3 linked regions of the Mus musculus genome follow. The protein of the gene in region 1 interacts with the protein of each later gene in a biochemical or structural test. Links are inferred from orthologs where the notes say so. Each region holds a gene or a part of one and is shown on either strand. Other genes may lie near its edges.

Region 1 (4,193 bases):
CTCCACCCGTAAGGTATAAGTCTTCATAAAAACAGAGACATTGCCTTGCCTTGTGTCTTCAACAAACCAAACTAAGGGCTTTCTATTCTTCAGGCTTTTCAAGTAGTACCTGATACACAGTCAATGAAAGGTCAATATTGCTGTCTATTTTTAAAGTGAGGGGGGAAATACACAAGTTGAGAAACCTGTTCGATGTTGGACACCGACATCGAAAGGAAAAAGCACTTTTTCTGTAGTATACAAAGGGACAGATGGATGAAGGAACTAGATTGAAGGAATGTGAACCATAAACGTTCCACGCGCCTGAGACTCCTCAAATCGCTCGCCAGGGGTCGCTGCTCTCCCATGTCTCGATGCCAGTCCCTTTCTGGCGCGCACTCCTTTTGCGTCTCGGGCTCGCGCGCGCTGCCGCGGCACCGGAAGTGGCTGCGCTTGCAAGTTCCCCCGGTCTCTTCAGGGGAAACTGAGGCCGGCTTCTCCGGGAGATTCAGCACGAGCAGTCAGCCAGGTAGGCAGGCTTAAGTCCGCGGCATACTTCCCAGCCGCAAAACGCCCTAGTGTCTGGAAGCCACTGGGCCTATGAAGGGGGGATGTGGCCCCCCACGGCTCTCTGGGGCTCGCAGGTGAGAGCGCCGCCTCCCCTGTGCCTGACAGGCGCTGGGCCCAATGGGAGCCTTTGCCGTCCCGCTTCCGTGCCGACTCGACCCGCGGATTGGCTAAGCTGGGGCGGGCCGCGGGGGCGAGACCCCTCCTTCCAGAGAGGTCTAGGGGGCGCCCCTGAGGGAGGGCGGTTGCCTAGCAACGGGGCGGTGGCTCGGCGGGTACCCGGCCTAGGGGAGCGCGAGCAGTAAGCGAGGCCTCAGCCCACCCACCCGGGGCTCCGGCGCGGAGCGGCCTCCGGCCCTCGAGCCCTGCAGGGGGCTCCAGAAGGCCGCCTTGGGCTCGGCCTCAGGAAAAACGAGGTCTCCACTGTGGGAGCCCCGACCCTTCTTCCTGGCCGGTGGCGGGGCTCAGTGCCTCTCTCTCACCCCGTCTTTGTGCGTGGGGTGCCGGCGGCCATTGTGTCCGGGCGCGGAATGGAGGACCTGGCCGTCCCCCAGTGCTGTGTCCAGGGCCTTTGGGGAATTCAAAGACAACTAGCGGTGTTTGTGGGGGGTCTCCAGCATACGCCTCTCGGAAAAACCCGGGAGTGGTCTTTCCGAAATCAGATCACAGATCCGAGGCTGTCTTCCCCCTGTCCGCGTCCCTGCGCGAAACCTTGAGATTCACTTGGAAGTCCCTTTAGGGTTTCGGAAGCCTCATCTAGGGCTGGTACTTAAATAGAAAGAAAGAAAGGAGGGGTGGGGGGAAATTACACTAAACCCATACCTCCGGGAGAGTTCTCCTGACTCCCAGTAGGAGGCGGAGAGCCAAGGGGCGTGCTAGAGCGAGGGGGTTGGGCTCCCGGGTGGCTGGAGCCTGCGGAGCAGAGAGAGGCCGCCCTCGATCTGGTCGATGGAGGAACCAGGTTGTGAGGGGGCAGGTTCCTAAGCTTCGCAATTCCTCTGTCGCCTTCTGAGCTGCCTACCAGGTCGCATGATCCCTCCGGCCGGGGCTGGTTTTTTTTTTTTTTTTTTTTTTTTGCTGAGTTACCGGCGACCCAGCCACCACCTCCTCCCCGACCTATGATACAAAAGACCTTCCGGGGGTTGTACCTGCTTGCTGTCGCCGGAGATAGATTTGAATGTAGGTGGTGGTGGTGGGGATATGCCAATGGGGGTGACTTTTGGAGAAAGGCATTTCGGAGAAAAGGGGGTGGGTGGTTGTAGTAAAAAGAGGCGGATGAAACAATTCAAAGCTGGCTGGTCCTTTCAATTTGACTTCATTGAAGTCCCTTAGAACCCGGACTCAGACCTTCATAAGAGCCACAAAGAAAGCAATTCTGGTACCTGGAGGAGGAATGGGAATATTGTAAGGTAAATGACATGCATATTAAATTTTTCTCCTGAAGCTCTCTCTCTCTCTTCAGAACCTTATCTTGGCTTTGGATCCTGGAAGAGAATCGCTAAACACAGAGCAGACCCAGTAAGTGAGCAGGTGTTTTGGACAATGGACTGGTTGAGCCCATCTCTATTATAAAAATGTCTCAGAGCAACCGGGAGCTGGTGGTCGACTTTCTCTCCTACAAGCTTTCCCAGAAAGGATACAGCTGGAGTCAGTTTAGTGATGTCGAAGAGAATAGGACTGAGGCCCCAGAAGAAACTGAAGCAGAGAGGGAGACCCCCAGTGCCATCAATGGCAACCCATCCTGGCACCTGGCGGATAGCCCGGCCGTGAATGGAGCCACTGGCCACAGCAGCAGTTTGGATGCGCGGGAGGTGATTCCCATGGCAGCAGTGAAGCAAGCGCTGAGAGAGGCAGGCGATGAGTTTGAACTGCGGTACCGGAGAGCGTTCAGTGATCTAACATCCCAGCTTCACATAACCCCAGGGACCGCGTATCAGAGCTTTGAGCAGGTAGTGAATGAACTCTTTCGGGATGGAGTAAACTGGGGTCGCATCGTGGCCTTTTTCTCCTTTGGCGGGGCACTGTGCGTGGAAAGCGTAGACAAGGAGATGCAGGTATTGGTGAGTCGGATTGCAAGTTGGATGGCCACCTATCTGAATGACCACCTAGAGCCTTGGATCCAGGAGAACGGCGGCTGGGTAAGAACCACGCCCCTTGTGTGTCCGCCCCTTGCTTGTGTCTCTCTTCTCTGTGAACATCCCTAAAACTGCCCTTTTTGGTCTCTTTCTGTTATATGGCATGGTTGTTAAAGATACCGATTGTTCAGGAGACCTTCCTGGCTTCATTTTAATACAAGAGGTTAACTTTGGAAATATAGATGACCCAATTTTTAAGGGACCTGTATCTTTCATCCTGGCTACCCTTGTGGCCCCACAGTTTCATAGTTTTGTTCCAATTTCTCAGCAAAGAAAAACAGCCTATGTGTTTACTTGGCTTAAAACCTATGAGAGCAGCAAGTTCTCCCCGCGTTCTGCTCACTCTCATGAAATGGGTCACCTTGGCTGGGGTGATGAACATAATACCCAGGAAACTGCAGAACTGGAACCTCAGGCTGCTGTGTACTTGCATGCATGGTACTCAGACCATTTGGCCAGTCAGGAGCCCCCACTGGCTAGAGTGGCTGAGTATTGTCTGATTTTAGAGGAGGGTGGTCTGGGCCAATGGTGTTTGTGCTGTGCTCCTAAGTTCTTTTTCCCCAAAGTGTGCAACTTTCTGCATGGTTGGCTTGTTTGTAGAGCCCTTCCTGTGCCATATCAAGCCCCAGGACTTTGCACCTCGCTGCCCTGGATTGGTTGGGGATCTCCAGCTGCTCTGCCCAGTGTTTTTCTGGTCAGGGCCCTGGGGCCTCTTTACTGAAGCACTGTTTGCTGGCAGAGCAAGAACCTGGTTTGTGAGGCTCCATAGGAAATTAAGATTTGGTGACAGACTGTATGTGGGTGTGAGTCCTGGCCCTGTCACTTAACTGGCCATGTGACCTTGGACAGGCTGGTTTACCTTCTAGAGCCTTAGTTTCTAACAGACTATTGTGACCCAAAGATAAAGAGAGCAGAGGCTGACACAATGAGTGCTTTTTCTTCAGAATCCTGCTCGCCACCTCATCAGTCAGGGTGAGATAGAGGTGAGAGTTCCATTACTAGTAGCTGTCGTGGTAGGCGTTTGTTACCCTTCAGAGTGAACTGCATTCTGGAATAGGGGATATTGCGGCTTCTGAGACGTATTCTGTCTCCTTAGAATATGTAGAAAATGGACAGACTGGAAAATAAGTCATCCATTGAAGGAAGTGAGGTGGAAGGGGCCATGCACCATGGACTCCGGAATGTCAAGAATTTAGTTGTCCATAGGCTGGGCCTAGGGCGGGGCAAGCACTTTGCTTTACTACAGGGTAAGAGACCTCCAGGTTTTCCCTGGGACCCCATCCTGCCTCTAGTTTCCCATTTCTTTGAAACTTCACCTTTCTTCCCTCCAGTAGCTCTTGTAAAGGCAAGGAGGTCACTTGTCAGTAGAGGCCAGATGACCAGAGTAGAGTTGACTGAGGTAAAGGTGGGTTCCCTTGAGCTAAGGGTTGCCAGACTTGAAAGCTAATCTGTAAATGAACTCCCTGGGGAGATAAATGATTAAATAGTTCCTGTTGGTTTGTGCTGTGACCT
Region 2 (5,706 bases), on another chromosome or scaffold:
CAATGACCATGGTAGACTATGGCCAAGGGTGGAAAAAGATTCCAGCTGTTAAATGGTCAGTAATGGTCATGGTAGCTCACATCTGCAACTGCTTTATTTATTATTGTTGTTATTGTTATTATTATTATTATTATTATTTAATTTGGTGCCATAATCCATCACGGAGCCACACAGGAGCCCCAGCCCTTACAGCCACCTCAGAAGCAGTAAGAATTGTTCCTTCAACCCTCCTAAAGTCACCTGTGCTGTAAGCTCATTGCTAATATTATTGTCCCCGTGTTGAGTATGGAAGAACTGAGCCTTTGGGGCTTTATTTCTTTTTTGTCTCTTTTATTAGTAACTTTGTGGACCAAATGTTACTGGCTCACAGCTGGGGCAAAGAACAAATTTGCTGGGCCCACTGACCCTGGTTAAAGCTAAGCTCTTAAAAGATATCCCCCAACCCAACACCCTCCCAGAGACCAAGGTAGACCAGAGCATTCTCATCCCCATCCCCACCCCCCACCCCCCTCCCCCACCCCCCACCCCCGCAATGCTGGGGAGAGCATCCCACATCTAGTACACAGAACTCAACCGATTACCCTCTCGGCCGGCTTTCCTGGCTCTAGCCAACTAGGGCAGACTGGAAAATGAGGGTGTGGTCATCTTGTTACCAGATGAAGGGAGTACCCCCGACAAGGGCTTCAGGGGTGCAAGGGACCATCTAGAGGAAAGCGCCGGCACTTCCAGGGGTCAGGAGCACAGAGAAGTGAGAACCCTGGTGGGTGTGGCAGCTAGGAGGGGAGACGTTGTAAGCAGAAGCCAGGAAGGAGTTGGGGGCGGGAGTCAGGACGCAGCACGGAGCTATCTCTGGGACGGAAACGGAGCTAGAATAGAAAGTTAATTCTAAAGCGAAAGTTATCTCTTGTTTCCCTTGCACACCACATCCATACCGTACCACGGGGCTCCAGTTTCCCAACTTCTTGTCAGAGCTCAGAGTGGAGCGCCGGGCCTGCGTGGACCGCAGCCTCTTTTTCGGGTTCCCTGAGCACCCCAACTCCCGACATGCATGCACACCGATACAGGCTCTCGCCCTCGCCCGGAGTCTTGAGTGGAACGACACTAACAGCACTTCTGCCATCCCGCCTGTGCTCCTAGACTCCCGAGTTAACATCCCTGCCCACCCCTCGCTTCTATTAGAGATTTCCTTCCCTCCCCATTCACTTCTGCACCCTCCATTTCTCCCCCACGCCCCCACTCTCCAATTCATAACCAGTATGAATTTCCCTTCTCTTCCTCCCTCTTTCTCCTCCCAAAGTCTACATTTTGGGAGTCAAAGCTGTGGCACCCTTCAAAATATTAGCCCCACCCCCCGGGATTCCGCAGCAGCGGTACTTTTGAAAGGGAGAACAGAGAGGAGGCGCGCAAGGGACCTTCAGAGCCAGGGAGCCGGGCCGCAGGGCGCCCCGAAGCGACAGTTCTCTTCGCCAGCGCCCGGGCTGCGCGGGCCCACGCGACATCTGTCGCCCGCGCTCCCGGCTCACACCCCGCTCACCCCCGCAGCTCCTCGGGCGCTGCCACCCCCCACGCTCCGGCTGCCGCCTCTCCCTGCGGCGCCGCGCCAGCTTCCTAAGGTGTCTGCGCGCCCGTCGGGCAGGGCTGGGATCAGCCCAGAGCATCTCAGGGTCTCTGGCTACCTTACCTGTGATCTTCACATTCCGACCCATTCTCGGAAGTCAGCCTAGTTCCCACCCACCCCACCCCGTTTTATGAAGCCTCTGCACTAGAAATCTAGAAAGGCGACCCCGACCGACACTTCTTGCTCCCCCAAACCGCCTAGCCCGGTACCTGGCACACAGCGGGTGCTCACAGGTCACCCTACCAAGGACCCACCTATAGCCTCCCGATATCAAACATTAGGCACCCAGCACCCAGGGACGGTCCGGAGCACACAGCAGGCGCCCACACCTCTCGCCGTCGCTGGGGAAGGTGATAGGAGGCCAAGCTGTAAACCGCGACACCTCGTGGTAAAAGGAGCAACAAAGTTACCCAGGAGATGGGACCTTGATGTGCGCCTGCCTTGGAGAGAGGACCACGACCTACCCCTGAGAAACTTCCACGGGAGCGGGGGTGGGAGGAGTTGGGGGGTCATAGAGAATGGGGATCACCACAAACTGCAGACCCTTGAGGAGACGGGAGTTGGCAGTGGAGATATGGAGACCTGGTCAAGTTGGAATACCAGGCGGTTTGAAAAGGGCCGGGGACTCGAGAACCTGTGGTGCATAATTAGGGGAGACTCTTAGCTCGGACTGGTGCAGTTCTACTGCGTGTGTTTACTGGGGCTGGCAGCGATTGTGGTGGCTTACGTCCTTCTAAAACCACTATGCTGCAGAGGAAGGAGGAGGAGAGAGAAGAGGGAGAAAGGAGAGAGGGGACAGTGAGGAGAGAGAGAAGGGGGGGAGAGAGAGAGAGGTGGAGAAGGAAGGGGGGACACGGGGTAGTGGGAGAGGAGAGAGAAAGCAGACTGGAGAAAGGGAAAACAGGAGAAAGTGGAAAGGCAGAGGAGAGCTACACAAGGGGAAGAATAACGTGAGCCAGGGGATTGGAGAAAGAAGAGAGTGAAAACACTGAAGAGAGATGAGAGTGAGGGAGAAGAGAGAGGAGTGGGGAGGGGGGGGAGAGTGAAGACAGAACAGAGACAGGGGAGCGGGAGGAGAGGGGGAGGAGGTAAGGAAAAAGAGGAGAGAGAGAGGGAAAGGAAAGGGAGAGGAAGGAGAAGGGGAGGAGGGAAGGAAAAAGAGGAGAGAGAGAGGGAAAGGAAAGGGAGAGGAAGGAGAGAGGGGGAGAGAGTGGAGATGGAGAGTGGAGGGAAAGAAGAGAGGAGAGAGATGAAGGAGGGAAGGAGAGAGGGAGAGAGAGGAAGGAGGGAGGAAGAGAGAGAGGGAGAGAAGAGAGAGGGGGAAGGAGAAGGGAGGAAGAGAAGAGAGAAAGGAGAGAGGAACAGAGGGAGGAGGAGAGAGAATGAGGGAAGAGAGGGAGGGAGAGGGAGAGAGAGAGAGAGAGAGAGAGAGAGAGAGAGAGAGAGTAGGGGGGATGAGGCGGAGCAGATACTCGGGGTCTGGATAAAGAGGGACAGAGGGCAAGCGAAGAGTAGGAGACCGGGTCCGCTGTTCCTCGCCGAGGAGCCCTGGCTCCCGCTGTCGCTGTCGCTCTCCCGCCCGCTTGCCCGCGTACCTGTTGCTCGGTCCGGGCTGGGTCTCGGCTCCGGTCCCCCCCACCAAGAAGGCCCCGCGCGCGCCGCCTACGCGCTCCGCCTGCCGAGCAGCCAGGCCGCCAGCGCCGCCACCTGCGCGGCCGCGCACAGCCAGGGCCAGCGGGCGCGGAGCGCGGGCAGCAGCGCGGGCAGCGGGTCCCGGGGCCGCGCGCGACGCCGCATGGCGCGTCGGTGCAGCTCGTCGCCCAGCGCCTGCAGCCGCAGCGCGGTCACCTGCGCCGCCGCCCAGCGCAGCCCGGGGCGAGCGTCGCCGCAACCGCACACGGCCGGGGGCCCGCGGCCGCGATGCCGGGGACACGGGCACATGGCGTGCGGAGGAGCCTCCCTGGACCCCAAGTTTCGCCCTTCACCGCGCGTTTGTTGTGCTGACGGCGCTATTATTAATTAAAGTGTCACATGGTGGAGGGGGCGGGGAGGGCGCGGGGAGGGGGTTACATCATCCGGCCCGGGGGGTGGGGAGTGTGTGCAGGAGAAAAAGCCGAGAGGTAACTTTTAACCCTCGAGACGCCGGCAGGGCGGGGACAGGCAGGGATGCGGGGCTTCGGGAATGCTGGCCCGGGGTCCGCTGTTTCGCTTCCCGGGCTGCGGGAGGCTCCAGCTCGGAGATAGCCTGGAAAGCCAGCTCGGTGCGCACTGTGAATTGAGCTCCGGGAGAATTCGGCCGTAATGCGAAAAGATCCCCGGGCTGTTGTGTGGCCTGGGTGGTGGGAGGCAGGGTTCAAGCCGACTTGCCCTGTTTCGGGACAGCCTCCGCACCTGTCAGCCTCCGGGTGGGTGCACACATTCCTGACACGCGTTCGCACCCCCTTCTGGTGACCTGACTTAAGCGCACCCCGGGGTGGGAGCCTGAACCCTGAAATGAAGGCGGGGGACCCGGGATGGGTTGGACTCCAACTTGGGCGAGTCGCCTTTGCACTCAAGACATCTCCCCACCCCCCACCCCCCACCCAAGAACGTGGTTCTAGAGAGAAGTTCTTGCAGCCTGCTTACTTTGTAGGCTTTATCTTTTCAAACGGGGTCAGAGTTTGCTGGCGACCCTGTAAGGCTTTGCCTTGGTGCCCAGTGAGGTTACCTAACCCAAAGGAAGACCAATCCAGTTTTGCTCCAGCTCCAGCCTGGGAAGTCCTCTGGGGAGGGTGCCGACCAGTGAGGAGGCTCCTGGGACTCCTTAGGGTGCTAGAGAGACCCGCCCACCATGTCCAAGCCACTGGATTTTGGACAGCTTTGGGATTGGGGCCTGAAGGAGCAGGGAAGTGGTCCATATACAACCTGGTCCATATAGTGGTTTCAGGCCAGCCACAGTTACAGAGAGAATCCTTTATTTAAAAACCCCAAAGAGTCAGGGATGCCTCTGTGGGTAAAGGTGCTTGCAACCGAACCTGATGACTTAATTTCAGTCCTGTGAATCCGTGTGTTCCAAAGACAGAAATCTGATACCCACAGATTGTCCTCTGACCTCCATATGTACTACCCTATGTGTATGCACATAAGATAGATAGATAGATAGATAGATAGATAGATAGATAGATAGATAGATAGATAGATAGATAGGAGATAGACAGACGTATTCAAACAGAAAACAAGTCGAGCAGTGGTTGTACACGCCTTTAATCCCAACACTTGGGAGGCAGAGGCAGGCAGATTTCTGAGTTCGAGGCCAGCCTGGTCTACAGAGTGAGTTCCAGGACAGCCAGGGCTACACAGAAAAACCCTGTCTCAAAAAACCAAAATAAATAACTAAAACCCAAAAGATAAGAAACTATGAACTCACCTTTTTGGAGTTCTGTGATGTTATTGTGACTTTCCTTTTGTTTCAAAAACTCTGCTACGGTGTAACCAGAAGCTCTCCTGCCTCATCCTCCTGACCACCAAATGACAGGAGGACTCTGCAGCTTGACTGACTTTCAGCCACATCAATGGGCTACGGGCTCCCTTGGAAGCTTGGTGAGGTGACTGTCAGAGCTCAGCATAGCCCAGCTGTGTGCTTTTGGTGACCCTCGCCCCCACCCAGTGGGCAGTCACTGTGCCCTTACTACCCACACTACAGAGTACCTTCCATGCCAGCTGCCTGCCAAGGTCCTGGCCTGTGCTCCTACAGAGACTCTTTCGGTGTCCTGTTTTTCAACATGAGGAAGCCAAGGCCCAAGTCCATGAGGCCTCTTGCCCAAGATAGGGGTTAGTACAAAGCAAAGGCTGGCTCTGAACCAGGGCACCCAGTAGCAGGCACAAAACTCTAGCTATGGCTTGACACTGGACTCTGTATTCTGAGACTGATAATACCTCCCTCCCAGGACCGGGGCCCAGATTAAATGAAAGAACCCTGTGCCAAGCGCCTGGCACGCATCGGGCTCAAATAAACCTCCGTCCCCTCTGATTCTGGCCAGAACTCCTTCCCCATCTCCCGGGACTCCCCCTCCCTAATCCCAGCCATCCTTAACAGAGGGGCAGCTGAA
Region 3 (6,313 bases), on another chromosome or scaffold:
GTATTGTCACAACTCAGTGTTGACACTAGGTAAATCAGCTGCCCTCTCCATGCCACCCTGCGCCCTGCCCTCTCCCGCCTGCCCGGGACGCATTTGCTGACACTTTTCTCTGAGGCTTGGCTTCAGCCAACCAAGGGTAGGAGAAAGGAAGCAGCCACACATGTCCAGTCCAGACCTGCTGCTGGCTTCCTGGTGGCCACTCCCAACAAAAGCCGGGCATCGTTCGGCACTTCCTTGAAACAGCTTCCGAATTGTTCTAGGCAGAGAGCAAAACAGTGATTTCTCTGGCAGGATTCACTCAGTCAGCCGCAGAGGAAGCAAGGGTCATTAATTGTCCACAAATGTAACCAACTCACTGAAAACAGGATGCTTTCCGGGGGGTGGGGGGGATTCTGTCTGTGGCAGTGTGGCAGGACAGCTTGAAGACTCACTAGTCAATATGGCCTTCCAAATACCCCTGCCCTTCTACTAAGAGAGGTGGGAAAGGAACATAATAAGACAAGATGGCAAACTGTATGTACCCTGTGACTTTTCTTTCAAGGCAGGGTCTCCTGTTTTCTACATTGGCCTCCAACTCAATATGCAGCCAAGAATGAATGACCTTGAACTTTTGCTTCCTTCCGAGTGTTGGCCTCCACCCCTGGCATATGCGGTCCTGGGAGCTGAACCCAGGAATCTGTGTGTGTTATCCCGCCGCTCTACCAACTGAGCTACATCTCCAGTCCACAAGCTCTGGTTTCTTTGCTCTCAGCGAATCCAGCAGTGATTTCATTACTGTATATCAACCACCTTACAGTGACCAGCATGCAGGTAAGCCCTCCATCCAGAGAGAGTTCAGGCTATGATGGGCACCAGGAACCTAAAATTTGATGTTCCTTGTCTCACAGAACATGCAGGCTACGAATACATGAGATTATTTCAGACAGCCAAGGGCATAGGACAGAACAAATAATGGGTGAGATGTCAGGAAGGGTGGACATGGAGGGGTTGTCAGAGAAATGTCAACTGAGCAAAGACATCAGAAGATGAAAGGCCAGGGATGTATCACTCCGATGACCCCTTATAAACCTCCCAGTGCTACAAAAAAGGATCAACTGTGACAGGAGAGTAGCTCCATCACAGAAGGCCAGAGTAGCAAGCTACCTCCTCCCCTTTCAGCTTCTACGTTCTTCATATGCTCTGGAATGTTTGAGCCTGAGGAGGAAGTACTAGAGTTGTCTGGGCTCCTCTGGGAGGTGGACCCCATCCTCTTCCTTCCTTCTGGTGGTGTTGGGCTCTTACCTAGACCCTTTACTGAGCCTTCAGCATCCCATGCCCCAAGTAAGCCAGGCGGCCTGCTTGCTTCTTGGCCCCCTGTTGCTTAAAATACACAAAGCCCAGGGTCCCATCCCCAGATCTGGAAACAAAACAGATCTAGCTAACTTTAAAATGCTAACTAGGGTTCAGCTTAGAAGATAAGTTAAATGAGCCTGTCACCAAGTTGAAAAATGACACACTGCGTTTTCCAGCTCGGGATGAGAGCCAGCATCCTCTGGCAAAGGTGCACATTTTGAGTTAAGAAAGTTAAAAAATAAGCAATAAAGACCCATAACCCCAGGATCTCAGAGGCAGGAGAATTGAGAGTTCAAAGACAGCCTGGGCTATAAAGTGTGAGACCCTGTCTCCGAAATAGAAAAAGAGCAAAGCACAGACAACCTTTAAAACCTAACTCTGGAGGAACAACTGAGAAACAGCAGCTCTGTGACTTTGAAGGGGAGGCGCTGTAGTTAGATATGACCTGGGGGTCTCCAAAGATTGGGGTGTTGACATTTAATCCCCTTGTGAGGTATTTAAAGGGGAAACTCAACCTCACTGTGGGGTTTAGAGGCCGGACCTTTGAGAGGTGGGTAAAATGTACAATGTATGTCTTCTGCCAACAAAAGGGAGTCACCCAAGATGGCCCTCAACCCCACATGAATCACAAGCCAGAATAAATTTTACTTCTTTATAACCCAACCCAATGCACTGTATCTTATTAGCAACAGAAAGCAGACTAAAAGTCAGCACTAGGGAAGCAAACCGAAGGATTGAGAATGCGAGGCTAGCCTCTGCTACATAGTGAGGCCTTACTTAAGAAAACAATGGTAGTATACACAGAGCTGTGAGTTCCATCCCCAGCTACAAATAACCTGGATACAGTAACTATACCTGGAATCCTAGAACTCAGGTGGTGAAGGTAAGAGAATCAGGAGTTTCAAGACCATCCTCAGCTACATAGTGAGCTGGGGGCCAGCCTAGGCTACATGAAACTTTGCCTCAAAACAAAACAAAGAAAGTCTCAAATCCTGGAGTATAGAGGGGAGAAAATTGGCAGGGTGGAGTGAGAGATGTGGGGAGGGGCAAGGCTGGGAGGTCACGAGTGCCACCTGCCCTAGGCAGGACACTAGATCCAAAAGCAGCCAAGGACCCCAGGTGACCCTTAGGTGTATACTTGTAAAGGAGCAACAGTAAACATGCCCCAACCTAGTGGAAATCAAGGTAGCATTGCCGAGCTACTCAGCCACTTCTTGGGAAAGGTCCCTCCCCACCAGGCTAAACCACAACGCAGTTTACAAACTCAACAAACTGAGGTCCAGAATGGTGGAGGAGCCTGTAGAAAGCTACACAGTCAGAACAGAAAGTAGGTCACAGGTAGAGAGGTTGGTGTGGCCTCTAAGAAAGCCCTCCAGGCTTTGAAGGAGCCAGCTCTATGTAGCTGTTGGGACATAAGCCTATCTGAAATGAGGCCTGCTTCCCTGAGGTTAAAATTAAGGTTCACTGACAACTCCCCCATCCCCCAAAGTAGGTAGGAGACCAGCCTTCTTGAGAGCTGCAGCTGGCTCCAAACCCCTGTAACAGTGTTATCACCTGCATCAACGCCAACAACAATAAACAACACTTTGTAGGGGTGGTTCAGTACACTTCAGAACAGCAATTAAGTTTATAAAACAACCTGCATCCGCATCCTGAAGGCCACAAGGTGGAAAAGTGACACAAGTATTGAACCCCCAGTGCTGGTTGTGGCTGGTACACCGGCGACCTTGCCGGCCCCTCGGATGCACTCCCAGTCCCTGCGCCTGGGCGCAGGCAGGTGGCTAGGAGCTTCGGGGAAATGATGGTCTGAACTACCCAGGTCGCCTAAGAAGGCCCTTCTGCTGCCCCTCGAAGACCTATATCCCCGGGTCCCAGAGAGGACAGATGCGAAGCTGGATTCTGTCGGGAACAGGTGTGAATTACCAGGTCGCGGCAGGGACGGTGCGAATCCCAGGATCCCCGAGGGAGGGACAGATGCGAACTCTCCGGTCCTCGCGGAGACAGGTGCCGACGCCATCTTCCGCCTGCGGCCCGGGCTCAGCCTGGCCGCCCTACTGTGGCAGTGCCGCGCCCTGGTCTCAAGCTGCTCCCCCTAAGTTTTCGACAACCAGGGCACAGCGACAACGAAGGCCACTTGCTCAGCGCGCCCTAGAACCAGGACACAAGGGCCACCCCAGTGCATGGACGCACAGCGAGACACGCGGACCAGACTAGCACCTTCTGGGGTGTCAGACGCAGAGGGGACGTTTCAGAGCCGGGGCCACCGAGGGATTTGGGCACGGGTCCCCAACTTTCCAGCAACTTGGGCTAGGGCTGCAAGACGCTTACCTGCCAAGCTGAGCTGGCGTAGCGGCGGGCGAACTGCCCGAACACCCTCTCGGCTGGGACGCCGGTGGCGGAGTCGGGGGCGCTGGCTGGAGGCGGGTTATTGTGAGCGGCGGGCTGGACCCTGATAGGTGGCCGCGCCCTCCCCGTCCCGCCCCTTTAACTCCTCCCTCCGGGGCTCCAAATCCCCGGTCCCAATAAGTAGCTACAGAACCCCTGTTTTAAAGTCGTTAGCTTGCAGACATTCCTCTGTCGCCTGTAGACCTGCTACTGTGTCCCCGCCAGTGCGTCTGCGAGTGTGCTTTCCGCAGACGCCGCCTCTGCCATCGCCGCGGCCAAACCTTAGCAAGGGCTGTCTACTTGGTCCTCATAGTACTCCTAAAGGCTTGGTGCTTCTGTGGCTTCCCTTTGCTCCCGCCTGCTACAAGTTCCGCACTGCACCTCCAAATCTCCCCCTTTCCCCTCTCTCTTCTCTCCCGGTGTATAGGGAGCTCTCCCAGCCCTCCTTTTGGCGAAGACTTAGGGTGAAGGAGAGGATCGGTAGGAGGTGAAATCTAGAATTACAGGTGAAGTGGGAGGAGTTCAGTCTCCAGTGCCCTGGAGCAGGGGCTCCGAGGTGAGTAAAGATGGAGCACTGGCCGAATTACAAAGTAACCACTATCTATACAACAACAAAACTTGTTTATCCCAAGTCAGCTCCTCTCGGGATAGCAGAGGTCAGAATCTGGGGCAGGTGCCTCCTACTGCGTGCTTTGTCAAGTAGTCAGCTGGACTCTTCCCTCTCCTGTCAGGAGAGGGGTGGTGATATTTGGGGTTCCTTAAATCTTCTCCTGACACGGGAAGGCAGCCCCTCCCCCCACATGTTAGAAGGTCCTCGGCAGAATTTAATCTTAGAGGCCTTCCAATCCTGCCACTCAGATCTTTCCAGTTCTGTGGTCCTTCTGTCACCTCCAAGCCCAGAAGCAAATTGAACCCTGATCTTTGGCCATTAGCCATCAGGGATTGTCACAACCTGGAGTTGGGGGCAGGGGACCTTGAAGCCTCTCTGCCAATACATTTTGCAGATGAATTTGCAGAAAATTGAGACTGAGAGAAGAGAGGCAGTGACAAGGGGTCTCACAGTCCAGAAAGACCTGACCGGTCAGCAGATGCGTTCTGTAAACAGTAGACAAGGTGGAGGAAGGAGGCCAGTTTGAGGTCAGATGGGGACTTAGGGGCCCAGGGGAGGGGGTGAGTGAAAATATTTAGCCTGCAAGATCCCCAAGGCAACAGGCTGATCAAATGGGAGGCTAGCACAGTGACTCAATCCCTGAACGGCCTGCCGCTGGGGAGACTAGGAAGTTGGGTAGGTTCCGGGCAATATAGCAAGAATTCATTATTTGGAGGGGTTTGTTTATTTGTTCGTTTGCTTTTTCAAGACAGGGCTTCTCTGTGTAGCCCTGGCTTTTCTGGAACTCACAGAGATGTGCCAGCCCCAGCCTCCCTAGTGCTGGGTTTAAAAGCATGCACCAACCACTACTACCACCAGGCTGAGAATCCATGTCTCAAATTACAAAGAAAAACTGGGTGTGTTGATACCCCTGTCATCTCAGGTTTGGGAAGTTGAAGCCGGGAGGCCAAGGCGTTCAAGGCTACATACACAGTTTTCCAGTGAGTTCCAGGAGAGCCTGGGGTACAAGAGACCCTGTCTAAAATAAATTAAAAGAAAGAGAGACAAATGAAGGGAAATGGGGCAAAATCACTTAAATAAGAGTGCGCCTTCCTGTTAGTGCTCCATAATTGGGTCAGATGCAAGAAGTAATACAAGTGGTGACAATGGGGACCGCCACCTTCTGTCCCCAGGGCTCACATTTGCTCTTCTCTTCCCTTCTTTTGAAACATTTATTCATTCATTCTGTTGGAGAGGGGACTATGTGTGTGAAGGTCAGAAGACAACCCTCAGAGGTCAGTTTTCTCCTTCACCATGTAGATCCCGTGTTCTGTCCCTGAGCCACTAGGCTATGCACCCTGCTCCCTGAGAGGACCATACTCAGGGACTTGCCCCTTTCTTCTCTAGTGGCCTCAATCTACAGGTGCTGCTCACAGCTACCTCTGGATCCTCATAACCCCACTGCCTTCTGTGCCTGAGATCACTTGTGTCTATGATCCAGCTGACACAGACTTCAAGCCAAGTTTTGGCCTCGAGTTGTCTTTGGATCCTTTGTTTAACAAATACTGGTAGAGTCTGGTGCAGTGGCACCGGCAATCCACATTCTACAAACTGAGGCAGGAGGAATGAGAGTTTCAGCCAGCCTGGGGTACATAGTGAAACCCCCTGCCTTAAACTTGAAGAATGGGGGATTGGGGTATAGCTTAGTTGGTGGAGTGCATACCTTCTACTGGACCTGCCAGTCACTAATGGAGCTAGCCAGCCATGCCAGGGATCTCACTGTCCCCGACTCCCCAACACAGAGGTTCAAGCCAGCACTGCCACACAGGTCTCTACATGGGTGCTGGGATTGAATTTAACAATGGCTTTTCAGGCTGAGCTCTCTCCTTTGCACCACGGTTACATTTACATGAAGTCTGAAACAAGGCAAAGGTCATCTATGGAGAGAAGGGAAAATAATGGAGGCAGGAGTTAGTGAAAAGGGGGCACAAGAGAGCTTCTTGGGTG

The links.
Region 2: the proteins of Bcl2l1 (region 1) and Hrk interact in a biophysical measurement, tested with the Homo sapiens proteins (3 studies listed by BioGRID and IntAct, with this or other methods). The link is inferred for Mus musculus from reciprocal best matches to the Homo sapiens genes BCL2L1 and HRK.
Region 3: the proteins of Bcl2l1 (region 1) and Bik interact in a test that uses a peptide from one of them, tested with the Homo sapiens proteins (3 studies listed by BioGRID and IntAct, with this or other methods). The link is inferred for Mus musculus from reciprocal best matches to the Homo sapiens genes BCL2L1 and BIK.

Annotation. Positions count from the first base shown.
Region 1 is NC_000068.7:152,827,918-152,832,110, reverse strand, and holds the start of Bcl2l1 (bcl-2-like protein 1), read left to right. Parts: upstream 1-1,393; 5' UTR 1,394-1,725; exon of another isoform or gene 1,726-1,924; intron 1,925-1,990; exon of another isoform or gene 1,991-2,008; 5' UTR 2,009-2,120; coding exon 2,121-2,684; exon of another isoform or gene 2,685-3,664; intron 3,665-4,193. UniProt on the Homo sapiens protein: Potent inhibitor of cell death. Inhibits activation of caspases. Appears to regulate cell death by blocking the voltage-dependent anion channel (VDAC) by binding to it and preventing the release of the caspase activator, CYC1, from the mitochondrial membrane.
Region 2 is NC_000071.6:118,167,636-118,173,341, reverse strand, and holds the start of Hrk (activator of apoptosis harakiri), read right to left. Parts: upstream 3,579-5,706; 5' UTR 3,560-3,578; coding exon 3,281-3,559; 3' UTR 3,214-3,280; intron 1-3,213. UniProt on the Homo sapiens protein: Promotes apoptosis.
Region 3 is NC_000081.6:83,524,284-83,530,596, reverse strand, and holds the start of Bik (bcl-2-interacting killer), read right to left. Parts: upstream 3,736-6,313; 5' UTR 3,661-3,735; intron 3,481-3,660; exon of another isoform or gene 3,350-3,480; coding exon of another isoform or gene 3,256-3,349; intron 257-3,255; exon of another isoform or gene 1-256.